2 linked regions of the Danio rerio genome follow. The protein of the gene in region 1 interacts with the protein of each later gene in a biochemical or structural test. Links are inferred from orthologs where the notes say so. Each region holds a gene or a part of one and is shown in the gene's direction. Other genes may lie near its edges.

Region 1 (12,171 bases):
TATTTTTGCGGTTCGAATTTCGGTACATTTTTGACATCAGTTGCGGGCCGGAGGGTGGGGCCGTAAATGTCCCGCAGGCCGGCAGTTTGAGACCCACTTTCTGTTGTATGTAATTCTTGGAACAAAAAATAATTCTGTTGCATATGTCAAAGAGAATCTGAGGAGGTAAATGGAACAAAAAACTGCTTTAAATAAGAAGTGAAACTAAAATAAACACATTTAAAAAGAAACAAATACCAATGATATTGTATGCGGAACTTAGGTTGAAGTAAACTTTGTATGTATAATATGCAACGATGAGTTCTATATGGACCTCTTAAAACAAACCTACATAGAGAGCTGAATATTTGTAAAAATATTCTATAAGCACTCCAGAAAACAGTGTGATTAAGCAACAAATTATTATTATTAATGAATAAGACGTTATTTTTTAATTACTTATATAATTTTTTTTTTCGAACCAAATAAAATTATTTGATATTTGATTTTTTTTGTGTACTTTTTTGTGCGTGCAGTACATTTCACAGCCACACCTTGTATTTTCACAATTTAATTTTCACAATTTATAGTTCTTTTTTTCCAAGTGCTCTTAGCTTACCAGAAGTCATCCTTTAAAGACACTTTCACAATAGTAATTTGTTTTACACAGGAACGGTTTCAGTAAAAGCTTTTGAATAAGCAGTGTAGCCCTTAGTTTGATCTAATCTTAAATGTGTCTCGAAGCTCGTGATCTCATAAAGTGTGAAGCTTTTATGTTAACCTCTCTAACCCCACTGTTCTTTCTACAGACTCTGCAAAGGTCTCTCATCATGTTAATGTGCCAGGCGGTCTGGTCGTGGATATGGCCCCTAGTGGAGGGCTGGGCGGAGCTTTAGGGGCGTCTGCATTAGCCAACCTGCCTCCTCCCTACCAGCCCGTTAGCATCAGACAGCTGGGATCATCCTCCAGTCTAGATGAGCCTCAGGACTACCTTTGGCTGCTCAACTGTGAGAGCAAAAAACCTGAGCCTAACAGGTAAATCCCAAGCTATGTCTCCATACACTTATTTTTGTGCACATTTTGGATTATTGCATTAACAAATGCTTGATTAAAATGCCAAGATGCATATAAACTTTGATGATGCGCATAAAAAAATAATACGATAAGCTATGAAAACAAATTCGATAAATAATACGATTAATACAATAAACGTTTAATTCAATAAAAAATGCACATAAACTACGATGGAAACACTTTTACAGAATACATTCATTTTAAAAAAGTGATGTGATTTTGTTTTAAGACTTCATGTGATGATGAGAATGCATGTGATGGGATGCATTAATGGACAACTGAGCATGCTGACAACATTGTAAAACATCTGACATGTTGTTTTGGTCATTCTAGTATGCTGTAACTATTTCAGTATTATTGTTATAGTATTAGTTGCCTCCAGAACTGTCAAGATCGTCGTGTTGGCATTGTCCTCTCAAGCACAAGCGATTTATTCTGTACCTCAGCAAATTCCGTTGTTCTTTTTGATATTTGGCACCAGTTTATCAGGACGTGACTATTTTGTTCTCTTTGACTCATGGGATGGAAGTGCTTCTTTAATCTCAACTCTTTTTATGTAATATTCTAATCTTGCGCATAGTTTTATTTTGCATCTTTGGATGGAAACATAGCTACAGATGTGTATACAGACATCCTTTGGCATAACGGTTCACTTTTCGCAGCCTCGCAGTTTCACCATTTTTTTGTGCAATTCGACATGCTATTTTTCTACATTGTATTGTGTTCTGCGCCCTGATAGTGTTCTGTGCCCTGATTGGCTGTAGAAAGTTTTCAATCAATTTCCTTAATGCTGTGTTTTCTGTACAGTACAGAATGCGTTCAGCTTGCCAAATTTACATACATCTTCGATCGCTAGCAATGTTACTCTAAAGTGCTTTACTGTAAAAGGCAGAGGAAGATGCTAACCATTCCACAAAAAGTAGAACTTCTGGACATGCTAAAGGAAGGTAGAAGTTACACTGCTGTAGGGTGTCATTAGAGAAAATAAATAAATGATCAATCAAATATTTGGTTACATTTTATAACACTGGACTTATTTTTCTACGAAGGTTTGAACTTTGTGAGTGTTTAAACAAGAGCTAAAAGTGTGAAAAGGTTAATGCCTGTCTGAGAAAAGTGTATGAAGTATGTTATGAGAAGTTTTACAGCCTTAAAACATCTATAATAATTGTAAAAATAAAGCAGACTATTTCAAGGATTTTGCCTATTGTGGGTTATTTTTAGAACATAACTCCCTCGAATAAAGAGGGACCCATTTATTGGCTATTTTAAAAGATGGCTCATCCATCAACATCTCACGAGCAAATGTAACTTTTGTGCATATTGTTAAAAAAAATGGTCAACTCGAAAAAGTTCATGCAATTTCGTTCTTATGAATATATATGATTTTTAACAGGAGGCATGGGCACAAAAACCCACCACTACCCCTCTCTGGGAGATGGGAAAATCGTACTAAAATATATGAATGAGATTAAGGCTGCACGATATCGGAAAAAATTGACATTGCGATATTTGTTTTCCCTGCGATATATATTGCGATATTTTAAAAATTCAGAATCGGGAGTTTTGAACTGCTCAAAAATTAAATAATCATTAATTCTATAATAATTTGGGTAATTTTTTAAGCATTTTCATAGAATATAAAAATTAATAAGTAAAAACACTTTCTTTTGGGTTGTTTATAAAAAATATGACTTAACTGTCAATTCAGATAAATCAAGGATCTAATATGTTATGATATTAATACTAAATGTTGCTTTTACTGTGATAAAGGTAAGCTCATTTGGTGAATGTAAAGATGACACTTTATTATCACATTTAGGAATTAACACGAGTGACAAAATAAGTTATTTAACTTTTTAACAATTACAAACTTTTTTATTACAACAATTAAAAAACAGAAGGAAATATCTCGTCACAAAATTGTAAAAATATAAAAACAGCTAAACAATAACCCCCTGAGTGGTTTAAAAAAAAATAAACATGTTATAAAACAATTGTGGATAAGATAAACTTGTTTTAATAATTACCAACAATTAACTTTACAATAAATAAAATAATATGGCAGTTATATATATATATTATTGTTATTATTATTTTTTTTGCTTTGCATCGCTCCTCCTGCAATGTGACTATTGCGGATGCGCACATCGCGATTTTGATGCTGAAGCGATGTATCGTGCAGCCCTAAATGAGATCATACAAATTAGCCACTAAATTAGTTGCCATTGGAATGCATTGTTTTATCCAACAGTTTGTTATATAGGATTGTTCCCTTTTTGAGTCTGTTGTATTTATATCAGTGTATATCAGTATCAGCGTTATGTAATGTAAAAAACCGCCCACCTCTACTGAAAGCTTTGAGTACGTTCAGGTATGATGAGTAAAGATCTGGAAATAAGGGGCTCATTGTGTGTATTTGTGTGTGGTGTAGTCTAGTTGCTCCTCTTTGTCTAGGGGAGGAGGAGCAGGAATACCTGCTTTTGGAGGAGTGTGAGAGCCGGAGCGCTGCTCATGACAGTCAGTGAGTGAAGAGCATCAGTGTGAAAATTCAGTACTAAACCGCACACACATTTGGCCAATAGTCTGACACTGTTGTTTTTACCTGAATGTGTGCATACCTTTTTTCAGTAACTTCCTAAAATAAATACTTTACTTAGTTTTTGTTTTGCATTGTGTATCTAAAACTGTGAATGCACAGTTTTAATTGGGATTTGTGTGAATTGTGACATGCATGGTTGGGTTTGACACTAACCTGGTTGTAACACTTTATAACGATTAGTTAAATGCCCTGAAATACTATCAGCAATGTTATTTTTTTTCCCTGGATGTTCATGAAGAGTTGAAACTAACTTGGTGTACCTTTAAAGTGAATTAAATTATACTGAGTTATTATGTAAATACAGTACATTCGGAAAGTATTCGTAGTGCTTCTCTATTTACACAATTTATTGTGTTACAGCCTTATTCCAAAATAAATTAAATTAATTTATTTCCTCAAAATTCTACATACAATACCCCAAAATGACAATGTGAAAAAAAGATTTTTTGAAATTGTTGCAAATTTAATTAAAATTTAAAGACCTGAAGAATCACATGTACATAAGTATTCACAGTCTTTGCTCAGTACTTTGTTGATGCACCTTTGGCAGCAATTACAGCCTCAAGTCTTTTTGAATATGATGCCACAAGCTTGGCACACCTGTCTTTAGGGATTTTTGCCCATTCCTCTATGCAGTACCTCTCAAGCTCTATCAGGTTGGATGGGAAGCGACAGTGTACTGTACAGCCATTTTCAGATCTCTCCAGAGATGTTCAATTGGATTTAATTTTGCGCTCTGGCTGGGCCACTCAAGGACATTCACAAAGTTGTCATGAAGCCACTCCATTTTTAATTTGGCGGTGTGCTTTGGGTCATTGTCTTGCTGTAAGATGAACCGATTCCCTAGTCTGAGGTCAAGACCACTCAGAAGCAAGTTTTCATTCAGGATGTCTCGGTACATTGCTGCACGCATCTTTCCCTCTATCCTGACTAGTCTTCCAGTACCTGCAGCTGAAAAACATCCCCACAGCATGATGCCACCACCACCATGCTTAACTGCAGGGATGGTATTAGCCTGATGATGAGCGGTGCCTGGTTTTCTCCAAACGTAACACCTGGCATTCACGCCAAAGAGTTCAAATTTAGTCTCCTTACACCAGAGAATTTTGTTTCTTATGGTCTGGGAGTCCTTTAGATGCCTTTTGGCAAATTCCAGGTGGGGAGTGGCTTCCATCTTTTTTCACTTTGTCATTATGGGGTATTGTGTGTAGAATTTTGAGGAAATAAATGAATTTAACCCATTTTGGAATGAGACTGTAACAAAAAAATGTGGAAAAAGCAAAGCGCTATGTATACTTGCCGGATGCACTGTATGTGTCACTCATCTCTCCATAACAAAATAACTGCAAATGACAGTAATAAGAACATTAAAAAAAGCATCTGATCATATTGTTGTGGATTTGTCACTTTAGTCAACTAAAGACACTTTAAGAATATTTATGTAGCACTTTAAACAGAAGATTACTGTAAAGCATGCATCTGGACAGATTTTATCATGACAATGCAGTGTTAATATTGCTTTCATTTAGAATTACACTTCAGTTTCTTCTGTAAAGTGACTGTTCTCTGTATTTTTTTAGATGTATCACTTAACTTGTATGGGCTTAAAAGTAAAGAAATTGGAACAGATTTCCAAATCATAGAAGACAGAGCCCTGGAGCACAATAATAGTTTGAAGATGTTTACCAACTAAAGCTAAATTTATGTTTTTTCTTTTGTTTTTGTTTTTTCAAACCATTTAATTCTTCAGTTTCACCTAAAGTATACTGGACTCCAGAGCCTTAATTGTCGCCATCTGTGGTCAATATTGTGTATTGATTGTTATTTATATTTGACCATCATCCCAGACAGCCAATCTCACAGTGTAGATACTTTATTTCTCTCATGACACACTTGTTTTGTTCTAATGTCATAGCTGTCAATGATTTTCAAATAATCTATTTATTGATTTAATGTGCATTCAGTAGTTTTTCTTTTCTAGCATTAGTATTACTTTGGTATAATAGTAAGGTTTAGTGGCTGCATGAATAAATAAAGGAACGTGAATTACTCAATCTTGGGTATTGACAAGTTTTTAATCTTTCCAGGCTTTGTTTTACTTGGTTTAAGTCCTTTTCTGGATATTATAGGTACTGATTTCCTTTTTTTAAAGTTAATAAGTAATTTTTCACTTTTTGCGACAAAACTACACTGTTACAATTGCATCTACAACAGGAAGTGTGTCAGTTCTCTCTGAGGATTAGAGAAACACATTGTTTCATCAAGGCAATACTTATCATTTCATCATGGCAATTAAAACACATTATAGTTTTAAATTAGTACTAAACAATTGAATGCATCTGTAATGAACAATTATTGCAAAATAAACCACTTCAGCAATCAATTACCACACACTAATGACATACTGAGTGTATATTAACTTTTAAGTGCCAGTTAATTATTAAATAATAAACTTTCTATATTTTTGTATTTAAGACTAATTTGTAATGCAAAAAAGCATGATGACATGACTAGTTTTAGAACATGAACATTACAGTGTATTTTATACAGTTTAATTGCTCTTCATTTGCATTATTAAATACATTTTGCATTGAAAAGTTAACTGACAATCTGCATCTCATACTTTGGTTTCTTTGCAGGGCTCATGGCGACTGCTCCAAGTCTACCTCCTCTGAACCTGACTGTAATGACAACCTTCCTTCCCACTACACACCCACCTCCTCCACCTCCAAAAACGCCCCGGTCAATGGTTTCTTTTCCACCCAACATCCCACTGGGCTCTACGATTCTCCTCCTTTGCGCGGGCAGTCATTGTCGGCCGACTCACAGGGCCTGTACCACCTGCCCCGAAGTTACTCTCAGGACACTGTGCTGCTGCCGAAGTCGGCGACCTCCCCTCCCATTCCTGACGGTGAACCTGGTGAACTCTATGTCTTTAACACACCTGGTCGGAAACCCTCATTAGAGGCCCATTTGCGGAACTTGTCAGTTAGCTATGATATTCCACCTACACCTGGCAGCAATTCCACCTACCAGGTTCCCCGAACAGCAGGAGTGGAGGCTGTTTCAGGGTCCACAGAGGTAATTCCACCACCACGTCCACCAAAGCCTTCAGTGAGTGGGGGATCAGTCCCCCCTGAGCGATCGCCTACAGACACTTATGTGGTACCGCGGTCAGTGTCTGAGACTGATACGAATTACTGTGTTCCGACAAGTGCAGGAGGCAACAAAGCACTCAGAAGCAACACCATTGGTACGGTGGATTCTTCACGTCTGCGTAAAGGTAAGAAAATATTATGTATTTCAGTCATGTGTGCTATTTTAACCTTCATTTTTTTTAAGCATAAGAGCAGTTAGCTTAACGTTTAGTTATTAAGACAGGTAAGTTTCACAATGGGTGTCACACCAAGCCAAAGTCAAAGAATAAAATAAACGTATAAAATTAAGTAATTATTCTCTCTCATGTTGGTCGAATTCTCATTTGACATTTTGTTTATCTTCGAAACACACTTTAAAGGGCACCTATGATGAATATCAACTTTTGTAAGCTTAGACAGAGCTGTGTGCAGGTATAATGTGTCCACAGTCATATTGGGGTGATATAAAGACAATAAGTCTCTTTTTTTTTTTTAAATATTCTGACGTTAAGATAGGATCCAAATCCCTCCCATTTTGAGGCCCACCGCAATGTGATGTAGGAGTACGGTTTTCCCTCCCCACCAAATAGATTGACAGCCGCATATTAACATATCTCCGCTATACGCATATAATTATATTAACAAGACAGGTCTTGCGCAAAGCAACTGGTAAAAGATCTGTTCAGCTCTCTGTGATCATCTGTACCTCAAGAGTGAGTTTTACAAGTTTGAAACGTTTTTAAAACGGTGCATGTTTGTAATAAAGAAAACACAGTAAAATTGCTGTAATTCATCACCACAGCAGCATAGTGTCAGTCTGATTATAAAAGAAGATGCTTCAATCCTATTTTGTGGACTTAACTCAGGTTTATTTTATACATCATATCATTTTATACATTTTTATGGATGTCCATACAGCAGTGCATATTAACGTCTATCCTGTCATATTTGCTGTGCAAAACAGTGCAAAGTTAAACATGTTAGCATGTGTGCATGCTTGCGCCATTGTGTGACTTACTGTTCCAGAAAATCTTTAATTAACTCCACAACAAATGCATCAAATAACCATAAGTCCTTACTGTCATATTTCCCATTCTTGTCTGTCACTGTGCTGTTTATCTGACATGAGTTGCAGCAGGTGAAGGCTACATGCAGAGCTATACAGAAAGATCTCTATGGCTCTGAGGTGCATGCGGGAACGGTGGGCGGGGAGAACTAGCTCATTTGCATTAAATGCACAGGCAACAAAAACAACTACAGTGACCTAAAAGCTCAAATTTTCCAGATTCAGAAAGGTAGAATAAATAAACTGATCTGCAGTTTAATCTAAAACTTTACAGACAGTACAAAAAAAGTACAAAATACTTATTAGATATTCAATCTTGAAAAAAAGGGGTAAAATAGGTGCTCTTTAAGATATTGTTGATGAGCTCCCTCATCCTCTATAGACAGAAATGGTCCAGAGAGAGTCAAAATCCAGTAAAAAAAGGAAACCCAAACATTGTCAACTACATGACATGCAAGCACATATATTACCTATAGTACATTTTTTAAATGAAAAACATCGGCCAACAAAGGTATATTTAGATTTGTTTTGTTTTTTGTGAAACAAAAGTGTTTTTGGAGCTTGGTATGATTACAGTTGAGCCACTAAATGGACATGAAAATATTTTGACTGTTTTTGGTCCTTTTTATGAACTTTGAACATCTTAGTAATGTTGTTGTCTATGCATGAGGAAGCTCTTGAATTAAATAAAAAAAAATCTTTATTTGTGTTATGAAAATGAATAAAGGATTCAGGGCATGAGATGACATGATGGTAAACAATTAAAAACAGAACTCAAATATTTGGCTGAACTACCCCTTAAAGAATTTTGTGCATTGATTGCATCTGGGCAAAATGGCATTCTGTAAACACATTTCAAAGACATGTGTTATGCCCGTACATGTAAGGAATTGATTGTCTTTATCAGCAGGTATTAGTAATCAGTATTCCTCATCTGAAAAGAGAAACCAAAAGGAGAATTGCATAAATGCAAATGGTGAACAAAGCAGCACTTGCTTATGGTTTTTAATATCAATTATGTTGGTCACTCTCTTCATTACAAACACCATGAAATAATGAAAATATTTGCATGTTGGAATGCTCAGGTATGATGACACAACACAAGAACAGCATACTGTCTGTGGAATTTTCATTACTGTCATTTTAATTCTCGTAAACTGAATAGCTAATCTGAGTGATTTGCCTCGCTGATGGCCCTGAGGCTTATTCAGCATGATGAATCGGCAAACTGTTGCAGATGTGAAATCAACTAGAGCAAACATATGGAAAACACTGAAAAAATACAGTTCCCAGCAATGGCCATCAGTTTGTTGTGTCATTACCCCAATAGTTTGAACACAACATTTTTTGTCAAATAAGCTTTATTGAAGACACAGATTGAAAAAGAATAGGATTCTCTGTTTACTTATTTTGTCGAAGAACAAAACATTTGCTGGTTCCAGTTTTAAAACTGGAGGGATTTGCAGATGGCGTCCTTGCAATCTTGGGAAGAATGGTATTCAGTGCTGGTAGTCTGCTGCATGTCAGGTAGTGTCACTTTGATTAAGAAGCAATGACGCACTAAACTGATTGACAGTAAGGACATTTGCAGTGTTACAAAAGTATTATAAGAAGATGTATCACAAAGCCTACAACAACTATTGTTAAGCAAGCTTCTGTTTTCAATATTGATCATACAAAGACTAACCTTAAACATCTGAGTTCAAACAAATTACATTCATTTCTATAGCACTTTATACAAGGGATGGACTGGAAAAAAGGCTGATAAAAGTTATTAATAATAATATTTAATTTTTGTGGGACATATTCAATGCATCAAGCAGGTAGCAGAATGATGTGGTAGAGAGCTGGTGTAGTTCTGTAAAATAAATTAAATGATTCTAAAGAGTTATGAATACTAAGGTCTGCTCTGTATCTATTTTTTTCTGATTGACAATTCTATCATCAAGCTGTTTGTGGTGAAATCCTGTAGTCGCGAGGGGGTCCCTCTAGTGTTGTGTGATGGTATTGTGAGAGTTTGAGAGATTGTTTACATGCACTCCCTTCCTCACATTTCTGAAGGATCATGTGACGTGACATGCTTGGAGTAATCACATCTGAACATTCAATCAGAGCAGTAACAGAGTTAAAAATATAATAACACATTAAATATTATCTTTTTGCATTTCTTTTCTCCACAGATTACGGATCTCAAGATTGCTATGATATACCCCGGCCCTTCCCTTCAGAAAAAAGTTGCTCGTTTGATTTTAATGAAAGTTTCAACAACTATTTTGTAAGTTTTCTATCTTATTAAGCTTTATCTTTATACAGTGCTCTACATAATTGAGTACACCCCATTTTGAAAATGAATACTTGTATCCATTTCTTAGTGAATATAAGCAACATATTTTGGTGCATTTAAACAAAACAGATTTATTAAACAGATGTATTTATTACAATAATATTTCAGTCACCAAACATTTAGAAATTAAAAGATAATACAATTAAATTCAAGCAAAATATTGCAAAAAAAAAAAAAAATTACAACCTACAAAATTTCAACTAATTTTTTTCAATTTTTTCGCTTCTATTGATTTCTCCTCTTTTTCTGAATTTGTATTTAATATTTTTCTATATCATATAAATTTGGGTGAACTTGTTTTTGGACCATTTTGGTAATTTATTTTGTTAGATAAGCTCCAGATTATGCTTCAGTACTGACTAATATAATGTATATGCACAAATATAATATAGCTTCCTATTAAAAATATGAGTTTAAAAGATAGATTTCTGAGGGGTGTACTTGTATATGCTGAGCACTGAATATCCCAGTGCTCATTTTTACCCTTTCTTTCAAGTGTCTCAAATATTTCTAACCTGTGTCTGTTTTTGTATGCATGTAGAAAAATAAAGGCATGGTGCCAGTAGGAGGTGTTTCTACAGAGGAAATGGATGAAAACTATGTTCCCATGAGCGTCCACTCTTTGTCACATCAGCGCTCCGGCAGCCTATCAGAACCTATACAGGAGCCCAACTACGTCCCCATGACACCAGGCACAGTGGAGTTCTCTTCCCTTGGAAAACAGGTGCCCCCTCCAGCCCACATGGGCTTCAGGTCCAGTCCCAAGACACCACCCCGTAGACCGATTCCTATATCTGAATGCCAACCTCCACCCATAGACCGCAACCTCAAACCTGACCGTAAAGGTGAGCCCTGAGGTTTGTTTTTATCTTTTCTGTTAAGAGAAATTTGTGTGCTTGCATCACTTCAGCGCAGCAACTTAACAAGTACTAATTCCATTGCTTTCATTACAACCTTTCCTACTAACAGGTGCCGGCCCATGCTTATAAAACCGCATCAAAAACTGCTGATCAGATCCCAAAACTCAGATCTTTAGCGAACTAGTCCACAGCACGGTTTCAGTGGCCTTTGCCTTTTAATCGTTAGCATGTGACCTCACAAATGAAAGAAGCTTTTGTCCACAGATTCAGAGCTCTGGGTATGAGGGAGCCTGTCTGTGCCGTTAGCCTGGAGCGGTCACCTCTGTCCCCATTGTGCCTTAGTCAAAGACCTCTTTGATGGCCAGACCTGCGAGGGGAATTTCAATCTGGTCCAAGACAAAAAAGGGGACGTGCTGAAAGTTGCACAAGCAGGCCGAAACATCAGCAGCCAGCTGGGACAGCACTATTGATCTAAACATTATGGCAGCAGTGCTCTGCTCTGCTCATCAGAAACAATTCTGTATCTTTAATTACTACAGTTTCTGAAATACTACTGTTTATCAAATACACACTATAACCATCATTTTTTGTATGTAGTCCATATGGTTTACATATTTGGTTAGCTCAGGGTTCGTTTACATGATAGTGACATACAATTCTTCATACAATTACTACAATTATGGCTTTTGCTTTCTAAAACTTAAATTTTCAGACCCCCAATACATTATCGTCATGTCAATGAACTGCTAAAAGTTTTCAGTTTTTATATGAAAACAGAATTGGATATAATTTATGCGTAAAGCATAAAAGTTATGTTACTTAATAATTAGCATAGATATGTTGCTCTGACGTACACTAAAAAATAATACACTCAAAGTCATGACATGTTTCTGTTACTTTATTTTAAGTTTATCAGTTTTCAACATAATGTTATACGAATTATAACGTAATATTGTATGTTTAAAGGTATTTAGGTTTTTAACTGTTCTAAAGCATAAAAATACCTAATATGTTTGCAGATATTTAAGAAACAAGTGAAATTGTGTGTCTGCGACCAAATTGCGACCTCCAGTGGACAGTAGCAGCCTCCAAATTGAGACTCAGATTCA
Region 2 (12,108 bases), on another chromosome or scaffold:
GGCACGAATATGAGCCTCAGCTGGCGGACTAATCAAGCTAGCTGAGTGCCGTCATAACACGTGATCAGAACAAATACACATGGAGAACAAAAACAAAACAAACCCACATGATCAAACAGACACTCCGGAAGAGCGCACAAACCTGCAACCGTGACAACGAGCTACTTTGAATATTCAGTCTGAAATAGCATGCTATTATGGGTTAGTAATAAGTGTAATTCCTGCACGCCATTAGCCAACCACTAAGCAGAGTCGCTTTAGGACAAAGCGTGTGAGAAAGTGAGACCAGTGATCCTTACATGCATGAAATATTACACATCATGACAAGTTTTGCTTGCTGCCGAACTGAAAACGTGCTAGATATTTTTGTTCGTTATTGTAGTATTATAAAAATACTCGGTATAAAGTTTGGCCAATGACATGATTAAAAAGCACGTCATTTCAGGCGGCATGGCATTGGACGGCAGGGGAGGGACTGTGTTTTCAAAGAAATTATGCTAACGGTTAGCATTTTGGCAGATCACCTACTGCACCTTTAAATAATAAATCTATAAATCTATTTAGTAAAACCACATTTGTAAGGAAGCTTATCTTCGACATGTAAAGGATTGCTTATAGCATGAAAAATCATAATAATGCATGTTATTGGGTACAAAGTCATGCGTCATAGTTATAATTAAAATTATTAGATAACAATCATGTTCTTTATGTTATAATTAGGTATTTTGACTTGATGGCTGGTCACACTTGTGCAATTACTACATGAACTATGACAAAAGTCACAAATGGTGAAACAAGTCAGGTCATAAAAATGTCTGTGGCCTTTATGACCTAAACATGACAATTGATTCTGACTTCTCATACTTTAAATATTTCATATTAAAATTTCAACTTTTATTGTCTTTGTTTTGTTGTGATATATGTATTTTGTTAATGTACTTTATAAAATCTTTTTAAACAATTCTGACTTATAATGACATAATTCTGATTTTATTTATATATTAATTGTCATTTTTAAAAAGCATGTTTTTCTGTTTTTTTGACAGATTCTGGGGTCTCAGGACGATTGGTTCAAAGCAGAGTTACATGGCCATGAGGGTTATGTGCCGAAAAACTATGTTGACAGGCAGATACCGAGGTAAGCTACAATACTATTATACTAATCTTTGCACACCACATGCAAATAATCACTGAACGTGCAGTACTTAATATAGTGGGATCTGTAAATAGATCATAATGAACAATGTAATGTATTCTTTTGCAGCTGGTTTAAAGAGAGCGCCAGTCGCGGATCAGCTGAGGAGACGCTCATGTCTCGAGAGGTGGGCGCTTTCCTGATTCGAGGCAGCCAGAGTTCACCTGGAGATTTCTCCATCTCTGTCAGGTAACTCAAAATTATTATTAAAGTCACAAAATTACTTTATACTTTAGTGTGAATTTCAAGAGATGAAGAAGAAAATTCACATTTATTCACCCTTGAGTTTTCAAATCTTTATGAGTTTCTGTTTTCTATTGAACACAAAGGATGATGGAATGCAGTAGCCATTGAATAAAATATATATACAGTTCTCAGCATACAGTATATAAGTACATCCCTCACAAACCATTCATTCATTCATTTTCCTTTGGCTTAGTCCCTTATTTATCAGTGGTCGCCACAGAGGAATGAACAGCCAACTAGTCCAGCATATGTATTTCACAGCGGATGACCTTTCAGCCACAACTCAGTACTAGGAAACCCCTCACAAATCCATCATTTAAATTAATATTTTCTATAAAATGCTTTATAATATTATATGTGTGCGTATATATTAGATAAAATAATTTACAATAACGGTCTAAACTGGTACCCCAAATTTACAAAATTAACAAAAAGAGCAAAAATCAAGAGAAACTAAAAATGTAGTCGAAATTTTGTAGTTTGTAATTTTTTTGCAATATTTTGCATGAATTTAAATGTATTATCTTTCCATTTCTAAAGATATTCGGTAACTAAAATATTATTTTAATAAATATATCTGTTTAATAAATCTGTTTTGTTCAAATGCGTCAAAATATATTTCCTATTCACTGAGAAATGGAATAAATATTCATTTGCTAAAATGGGGTGTTATTACAGTATTTAAGCTGAGCACTGTATCTATGTTGTTACTATCAGTTTCCAACATTCTGCAAAATATCTTCTTTTGTGTTTAACTGAAGAAAGAAACTCAAACAGGTATATGGAACAACTGGAGGATGAAGAAATTCATTTTAACCTGCAGACTTAATAAAAACGGTTGAAATCAGAATTATTAAACCCCCTTTGATTTTTAAAAAAATCTTTTTTAAATATTTCCCAAATGATGTTTAACAGAGCAAGGAAATTTTCACAATATGTCTGATAATATTTTTTCTTCTGGAGAAAGTCTTATTTGTTATATTTTGGCTAGAATAAAAGCAGTTTTTAATTATTTAAATACCATTTTATGGTCAAAATTATTAGCCCCTTTTAGCTATATATTTTTCCGATGGTCTACAGAACAAACCATCGTTATACAATAACTTGCCTAATTACCCTAACCTGCCTAGTTAACTAAATTAATTTAGTTAAGCCTTTAAATGTCACTTTAAGCAGTATACTGTAGAAGTGTCTTGGAAAATATCTAGTAAAATATGTCATCAAGGCAAAGATTAAATAAATCAGTTATTAGAAATGAGTTATTAAAGCTATTATGTTTAGAAATGTGCTGAAAACATATTCTCTTCGTTAAACAGAAATTAGGGAAAAAAATAAACAGGGGTTAATAATTCAGGGGGTTTCATATTTTTGACCTCAACTATATGATTTGGCTTTGTCTGTCAATCACTTCTTTTTGGCTATCAATTTTCAAAGATGCACACTGGACACCTCTTATTGCACGTTTTGGACTTTCTCAGAATATAGCAGGGTTATCGAGCTGTACTGCAAACACCCTTGCATTTTTGACACTGTTAGCAAGACGGTGTATTCTTTTATTTAGAAACAAAGATTTCCCCAGAGTTTTGGCAATTGGTTGCAAGATGCAATGAGTAAAAATCAGGTTTACAATAAATGGCAATACAAGGGCTTTTTCTGAAACATGAGACCAATTTAGAATTTTCTTTTCTGAGCATGTCAGTATCTCTTCAAACTGTCTAAATCTTAGGGCAATACAAATCTAAATCTTAGGGCCTTTCAATTGCAAAGCAAATGTAATTAAGTACATTGTACAAATACCTGAGGATAATTGTTTGTAGTATTGAATTATCAAGGTATATATGTATTCTTTACAGCTTTTTTTATTATTATTTATTACATTTTTTAAAATTATTTTTTTAGTTTTTAATTTATTCAAATTTTTTATTCATTTCTTTATTTGTTCATTTATTTTCTCTCTTAGATAATTGTAATTTCATCTTGTTTAGATGGTTGGGGTGGAAATAATATTTGTTTAAATTTTCCTGTAAAATGACTTTGTTATATCTGTAAAAGTTTAATAAACAGATCAAAAAAAGAGAAGAAAATAACTGTGAAAGATCCCTTTAAAAATGATATTGTGATATTGTTTATGACTGGGGGAGGCACAAAAGTATGGAGGCTTTTCATCTTTTCCTCAAGCACCTATTAGAATAATATTGCACAAAAATAAAACAAATTATATAAAGTGACTTGTTAGCCTAATACTAATATTTCAGCTAGCTTGTGAAGGCCACTGAATGCTATAAAGCTGTAACCACACAAATATTAATGTCAGTCTTCTTGCCACTAAGGCCACGAGGCTGGAAGACTTTCACAAATGAGAGCTTCTGCCCACACACGCACAGACTGAATCTAGCCTGTGGAAAAACCCCATCAATAATGCATCAATAACATCCATCTTATTACAGCGGTCAGACAGTCCATTTGTTTTAGCCATCCTCTCATAAATCAGCTATACAGTAGGTCACACTGTAAGACTGAGGGAGAGAGAGAAAGAGAAAGAGAGAATGAGAGAGGGTTCCCTCTAGTGCAGAGAGAAGGTTGTGCAGGTTTTGTTAACTTGTTTATTCAAACCTGCTGGAATTCAATACATCAGGACTCGTAATTAAACTTGAATAACCTGCTTCGGATAAAGACTTTGGCTGAATTGCTACTTTTTAATTGTGTCTGAAGATGTAAACAAGATAAATGAAAGCCAGTTTTAATACCACCATATGAAATTGAAAGTTCAGCCTGCGATCATATATGCATTTATACATTTTATGTACATTTGTTGAAAATATATTTTGATTGTATATTGAAAATATACATTTGTTTATTATGCTTTACAGTAAATCTTTCATATCAGTAAACAATATTTTAAAAAAAGATTTGCCAAGTCTTGACCAATTTCAAAATAGGGTATATGCCGAGCTAATGTTGTTCCCTTCCCATACTGATAAACTTTTAAACTTTTTAAACTTTTGACGTTTTATTGTGAGTTTTCTTTCAATTTTAAATGGGTCCTTTTACAGCATCGATGTTTTAATGCAATTTAAATACAATCAGTTAAATAGACTTTGGCATTCATGTAGTTGCTCAAATGTAAAACGAGACAAAAAGCCGTTTACTCGCACGCACCTGTCAGAATTAGCAGAGGAGCGTAGAAACTCCATTGATTATACTTGGGTGAAAAAAAAATGCTTATATTATAAACACATGGTGGGGAAAATGTAATTTAATGCAGTGCTTCTTGTACAATCTGAGACCCACTTTATATTGGATTTCATTCAGCCAGTGGAGATCTTGCGATTTTGCAATGGCATTCAGTTCATTGGAAGCGGTTAATCCAGGTTACTGGCAAATTAAAAGTCCCATTAGCATGTTTCTGCATATACCCTATGCTGGTTGCCGGAATAAGAAACTTTTTTTATAGGAGTCAAAAACATTTCAAATCAAATATTACCATAATAAAATGAAAAGTCTTGACTGAAACTGAAATGAAGTACTCTGAATTGATTACACATCCAATGAAAAATAACCATACTGTACTGTCCGCCATATACACAACACATTGCTGCTTTGTAATATAAAGGCCTTGTAATACTTGTGGAAAGCACTGCACAACTGAACTTGAATTGAATCCTATCGTTATTTAAAGTAACACAAAGCAAAAGTAGGCAGAACATATCTTGAAACAATTTTAAGTATATTATGTTTTATAAAGTTCTTTGTAAAGATCAAAATTCTTTATCAATTATCCATCAAATGTAAAGATCTAAAAAACTCTGTCTCACATTAAATGTTCAATGGTTGATTTTAGGTTATGTTGGAAAGTGACCAAAATTCAACGTCTGATAGATACAACGTCAAGGTGTAACATGATTACACATTGATATTTGGTTGATTTTAGGTTGATTATTGTTGAGGTGTTTGATTTTGACGTCAACTCGATTTTCATTTCCAAACAAAATCCAATGTCTCCACGACGTTGGCGTGCATCATGTTAACGTCCGGTGCCTGCAGCGATGTATCTCACTAAATTCATTTTATGGTTATTTAACTGTATTTAACTCTAATCTCATTTTGGTAGCTCAATTTGAAAGCACAAGGAAATTTTGTTGTAACGTGACCGAAAATATGTGAAACTCATCAAATCTGAATTTATTCTTATTATATTTAAAGCATTATGTTGTGAACACTGTTTTCTCACCCGATTCTAATGTTATCACTCAAATGGGATCAAATGGTGTTATCAGTGATGGATATTGGTCAGTAGGGCCTTCTGCGCCCACAGCCATATGGATGATAACAGCCTTATGAGCCTACAAGTAGGTGCAGAAAGCCCCAACTGGCCCATATCTATCAGCTGATAACCACTGATAACGCCCATTCAATCGAGTAATGACATTAGAATCGCCTGGTTTTCGAAACCTCCTGCTGCAGCCACCCTGTAGGTATGTGTGAATTTATTATTATATTAGGCCATCATATGACTAAAAAGACCCTGAAATAAATGTGTTGAAAAAAAAATTTATATATATATATAAATAAATATATATATAAATAAACATCTCACATTCACTTATTTATATCTAACTTCATGTTCTGTTTTTATCCCTCTCTGTTCACAGACACGATTATGATGTGCAACATTTCAAAGTTATGAAGGACAAATCGGGCCACTATTATTTGTGGACAGAGAAGTTTACCTCTCTAAACAAGCTTGTGGACTTCTACAAGACCACCTCTATATCCAAGCAGAAGGAGATCTTTCTTAGGGATGGAAGTGGAGATGAGCCAAGGGCACCCCCGCCTGTAAATAATCTCTCGATTTAAACCAATAAACACAGCACGTTTACTGTTAATATTCTAGATTGTTGTTCATGCAGAACTTCATGCACAAACTCAGTGAACTCAAGCTTAATAATTAAATTGTTCATCTTCTTTGCACTCATGAATCTGCTGATTTCCCTTTAGCTTTTCAAGGAATAGCTGATGTAAGAGAATCAAAAAGTGAAATGCTATGGTGGATATTCTTCACTTTTAATTGATTAAAATTGTCCTCGCTTTCAGATAAAGAGTCAGCCAGAAGTTCGGCCTCCCCCAGGTGGTGGCTATGGCAGTCCACAAACCTCATCACAAAACCGCAGCACAACAGATCCAACTCACAACCAAAAGGTAGTAATGTGTCAGCAGGGAAATTCTGCCCCATCTGACCTTGCATTTAAAAACTGAAAATGCTTGTTAAATTATTAATGTTTCCATTCAAACTGAATTACAGAGGCCTCTATCCATTCAGCAAACCAACTGTCCATTAAAACATTTTAAGCTTAAATAAATAATGAATATATAATGATATGTGTGTGTGTGTGCACAAGTGTGTCATTAAGATAAATATAGAATTACAATTGTTATGCATATTGCTTAACGAGAAAAAAAATAGCTTTCTAATGAGTAAAGTTGTGCAATTTTCTCAGGGTAAGAGAGGAAGTGTTGAGGAGAAATCTAACACTCTGGGTCACCAAGGGAAGAACAGCCCGGCCCCTCGACGAACCTCTGAAACTGCCCCTGCTCCGGTAGGATGCCAGAAATCTTGAAAAATTTATGACGTGTAGATCTTGTGTAAACTTTTTTTTGTAAAGGTCATGTGTGCAATAATGTCAGTGTTGAAATATATTCTTGTCCCAGAAACTAAGCTGAGACAAAAACACATACTGTATATACAGATATGAGGGAATTTTGTTGTTTCTATGAATTTAAGATTTATAATTGTGCAAAAAATGTTTTACTTTGTCAGAAATATGTCAATTTTTATTCTTGTTTTCTTAGTGAAACCTAACATGTATATTGATAGTCAATTTTATTTTCATAATATAATATAATATAATATAATATAATATAATATAATATAATATAATATAATATAATATAATATAATATAATATAATATAGGGCGTCACGGTGGCGCAGTGGGTAGCACGATCACCTCACAGCAAGAAGGTCACTGGTTCTGTGTGGAGTTTGCATGTTCTCCCCGTGTTGGCGTTGGTTTCCTCTGGGTGCTCCGGTTTCCCCCACAGTCCAAAGACATGCTCTATAGGGGAATTGAATAAGCTTAATTGGCTGTAGTGTATGTGTGTGAATACAAGAGTGTATGGGTGTTTCCCAGTGTTGCATTGGGGCTAAAAGGGCATTCGCTGTGTAAAACATATGCTGCAAAATTTGGCGGTCTTTACGCTGTGGCGACCCCTGATTAATAAAGGGGATAAGCCGAAAAGAGAATATAATGTAATATAATATAGTATTAATATAATAAAATAAAAAAAGATAGACTATAGAAGAACAAAGTTCAGGAGAATATTGGTATCTTTTATGGTACTGACACTGTTTGTTTTTGTGTGTATGTGTGTGTGTCAGAGATCAACCATACAGGTGAGAGCAATATATGACTTCACAGCAGAGGAAGACGATGAATTGGGTTTCAATAGCGGTGACATCATTGAAGTACTGGACCGTTCGGATGCGTCATGGTGGAAAGGTCGATTGCGGGGCAGGAGTGGTCTTTTCCCTGCCAATTACACAGAACAGATCTAATACTCAAAGGTGTGGAATCACCATACCAAGAGTCAAATACATGTACAATGTATGGACTGGTCCATTAAATTCAAATGAATTTCATATAGACTGCTGCAGAACTGTTGAAGACAACTGAGAAAAAGATATTTCTCATCAAAGTCTTTCGTGCTTCTCTTTTTCATATATATAACCGTTTTTTTATTTTAGAAATAAGGTACGAAGAAAGGACTATACCATTCCATTCCTTTTAGTCAAACTCTCCCAGATACAGATTATTGAATTATACAGTACATTTATACACAATGACCCCAGTTTACAAGTAGTGGAAAAGTTGGCCAGAACATTCCCAAAACATTCTTTGTTGGTTTGGTTTTGCAACCTACATAGAAAATGTTATTATGGCCTAGTGAGTACATTTGGCCAGTGTTCGGTGTTTGCTGGGACACTTGTCATCACCTTGATCATTTATAAAAGCGTTTTATTTTAGGTTTTCAAAAGGACACACTAACACAGGAGTTCTTACAGTTAGCAAGGTTTTGTTACCGTTTTGTATTGAATTATATGTTTTACCAGTTCGAACAATTTGTCAAAACAGGCCTATTACAAAGCATGTTGTTTTGTTGTACAGGATGGAAAAGATGTCAGACTCAAACATGATAACAGCAGTGTTATACAGAACTTGAATAAAAGTGCTTTCAAAAATACAGTGTTATTTTTAACGCCATACTTAAAACTAAAAACCCTTTGTTCCCAAATTTTCTTTGTTATTTCCATGTGAATAATGTTAAACTTTTTTAGTTTAGCTTTTCCTGTTGGCAGCTGTATTCGTGTCCATTCCTTTGTTTACCTTCCTGACTCTTGTCAGTTATCTTGAAACAAAAAAGTCAGACAGGGAAACTACCGTGACAGGTTGATCCGTCTTCTGTTGTAAGTTAAACAAGTGTCGTCATGTCAATTCCCAATACCTTTCTGAAGTCCCGCCCATCGGCTCCGAATCCCCGCCCACCCACTCTATTCGGCACTGAATCACCTCAGCCAAACCACTCAAACAGGTAAAGGTGGGTAGAGAGGGCTGCCTGAAGAAGCCACACAGGTGAACCCGTTGTTTCCGGGAGCGCAGCTGCCATGGCTGAGTCTCAACTAATATGCATGGACGATGAACATGTAAACGTGAAAATACCCGAGTCCAAACCGGAGTTTTATTACAGTGAGGAGCAGCGGGCCGCGCTCGAGCAGCTCCTCAGGAACGGGGATGGCGCGTTCAAGATGCGCCTAAAAGAGGATAGCGTTAAAGACTTTCTGTCCGCCAGGGAGATCAAGTGGATGCGGGAGACCTTCCAGGAGTATGACAGCGACTCGGACACCTGCTGCTCACGGTCGCCCCATGATACGAGCGAGGACTCGGGCGTACACTCTACCTACTGGCCCACCATGTCTGACACGGAGATCCCTCCGCTGGACATCGGTTGGCCCAGCAACGGCCATTACAAAGGGGTGACTCGGGTGTCGGTTTACACCCACCCACCGAAATCCAACAGCCCGCATATTAAAGAGGTGGTACGCAAACTCATTCAAGAATCTACAAAGGTAGGAGTCTATGGCATTTTATCATTTATGTCAAAACACCTACAAAAACTAGAATAATTTTAAATACATAGTTAAAGGGTAGTTCACCCAAAATAAGTCATTTACTCACCCTTAACTTGTTCCAAACCTGTTTGAGTTTCTTCTGTTGAACATGAAATGTGATGTTTGAAGAAAGCTGTAAAACTGTCAACATTGACTTTAATAATATTTGTTTTAACAAATGTACTATGGAAGTCAATGGTTAAAGGTTTTTTAGCATTCTTCAAGGTATCTTATTTTGTGTTCAGAATAAAGACACTCATAAAAGTTTGGAAACACTTGAGGGTGAGTAAATTTATCATCTATCATTTATCATAATTTTTTATTTATTTATTTTTTGGGGGTGAAATATCCTTTAAGTAACAATACGTTAATGAAGAGCATGTCTTTGAGTTCCACTAGTAGGCCTAATAATAGTTCACTCAAACTTATCTTAGAGATCAATTATTTTTTCCATTAGTCAAAACAATTATATATTAGATGCTGGTAATAATTACATTTCAGCTATCCCATAGTATCCCAATAAAGTTTTACATTGTTACTGTTTGGTGTTCACAATGTTTCTAGAAAATGGCATGTGATCAGTTCCGCTAAGACTATTCACTACCTTCAGCAGGGCCGGATTAACCAATGGGCATTATGGGCACAGGCCCAGGGGCCCCTGCGAGGGTGGGGGAAACGCCGATTTTGTAGTGTCTATTTAGTCTACGTGCAAATAGCACACCTCGTTGGCTCATCACCGTTTGATTGACAGAGACAACTTAACTAAAGAGAGCATCTAACAGCGGTGTGAGTGGCATAGCTCGTAAAGCGCATGGCTACATGTTTTGACACAATCAATCATGAACCCGGTTCGAATCCAGCATCTGGTGAGCTCATTCTTCTTTTTCCCCTACTACATATCAGATTTTGCCTACTCTTCATCACGAGGAAGACAAGTAGGAATCATTAATAAGTATGTGTATTATGCAAGACTCAGATTCATAGAACTGGATTGGAGAGGGGTTATATCCTAATCATATGCATTATTAAATTTGTAGAGATTATACATTAAAAATACCCTTAAATATAAATTTTAGCACTGCTTCAGTCAATCTGAATAAGTATATTAAAATCCATTAATTTCCACTAGTTGTATTAGTATTTTTTTTTTTCAAAGTGTGCTTTAAATGCTTCAAAAATAAGTTGAATCTTTGTAGACTTGAAATACATGTATATGTACTGTATATCATTTATTTAAAAAAAAATGTGGGCAATAACATATAGATTAATTTTATTACAAAATATGATAATAATTTAATTTTTTAATTCAATTATAGGGGTGCGACCAGGTAGGGGGGCTACAAGACATTGTGCCCAGGGGCCTCTGAATTCTTAATCTGTGCCTGACTTTCAGGGTCAAATTTTGGTTCATTTTTAAAGGTGGCCCTGTTACAGCGAGTGTGCAATCCATTGAACTACTAAGTATTAATTAATTACATGCACTTAATGTATTGTTAGGGTTACAATACTGGTTAGGTTTAGTGTCATGTAATCATGCATGATTAATTGTAATTACAACAGTAAGTAGATTGAACTTGCAACACGGATGCCTTAAAATTAAGTTATTCATTTCTTATCATTTTTTCAAAATTTTGAATTATTATAGTTTTTTAAAATATTTTGGTTCTTGCTGCTGTTCTAACATTCCAAATGTATCTATTTCCATTGCTACTGCTCTTATTATTACCTATATGCCCATGGAGGTCAGTGATTCAAAAATTAGCATTTTGTTTAACAGAAGTGGTAGCAGGACATTTACTACTATAACCTACTAGTTCAGTAATTGTATTCAGTTTTCATTAGTTCAGTGTTATTCATTTAAATCTAGTTTTACTGATACTAAATGCCACTTATACATATTAGAAAATTAAAACTCACTAACAATATTTTAAACCTAGGAAGTATACATTCAATCCTGTGATTAAACAAGACCAAAACTACAGTATGTTGTTAGTTAGGTAACCAGTGATAAAGGAAAGGACCTTTGCATTTTACAATATGTGTACTTTATATTTATCAAAGAAAATTAAGGCTAGATTTAGGTTTAGTAATTGTACATGGATATTGCCAAGTTTTGGTAATGATTGTGGACTGTGAAACAGGACTAGTAAAATAATGCGCTACCAAAATGTAGTGCTATTACAATACACACACACTGGTCAATGGCTAATAAAATGCTATCTAGTAGCTTCAAAATGAAAAATACTATTATCTAGAAGTAAAAAAAAAATGTATTCACAGATTACTTAACTAAAATGTTATAAATAGTCTACAGTAATGAAAAACAAAATGTACTGTCACTATTGGATTATGCACTTGGAAAAAAAAAAGTGCAAAAGCAGTGAAGGAAATACATACTGGTTAGTTTTAGTTGTTAATAGATCATGTATTTATGTACATGT

Evidence for each region.
Region 2: the proteins of gab1 (region 1) and grap2a form a complex in vitro, tested with the Homo sapiens proteins (2 studies listed by BioGRID and IntAct, with this or other methods). The link is inferred for Danio rerio from reciprocal best matches to the Homo sapiens genes GAB1 and GRAP2.

The regions. Positions count from the first base shown.
Region 1 is NC_133176.1:38,713,688-38,725,858, forward strand, and holds part of gab1 (GRB2-associated-binding protein 1), read left to right. Parts: intron 1-788; coding exon 789-1,014; intron 1,015-3,487; coding exon of another isoform or gene 3,488-3,577; intron 3,578-6,294; coding exon 6,295-6,938; intron 6,939-10,038; coding exon 10,039-10,133; intron 10,134-10,743; coding exon 10,744-11,047; intron 11,048-12,171. UniProt on the Homo sapiens protein: Adapter protein that plays a role in intracellular signaling cascades triggered by activated receptor-type kinases. Plays a role in FGFR1 signaling. Probably involved in signaling by the epidermal growth factor receptor (EGFR) and the insulin receptor (INSR).
Region 2 is NC_133178.1:28,207,698-28,219,805, forward strand, and holds the end of grap2a (GRB2-related adapter protein 2a), read left to right. Parts: intron 1-1,046; coding exon 1,047-1,138; intron 1,139-1,264; coding exon 1,265-1,384; intron 1,385-6,093; coding exon 6,094-6,277; intron 6,278-6,535; coding exon 6,536-6,640; intron 6,641-6,939; coding exon 6,940-7,038; intron 7,039-7,879; coding exon 7,880-8,056; 3' UTR 8,057-8,740; downstream 8,741-12,108. Other genes in the region: fam83fa (protein FAM83F), read left to right, coding at 9,164-9,625. UniProt on the Homo sapiens protein: Interacts with SLP-76 to regulate NF-AT activation. Binds to tyrosine-phosphorylated shc.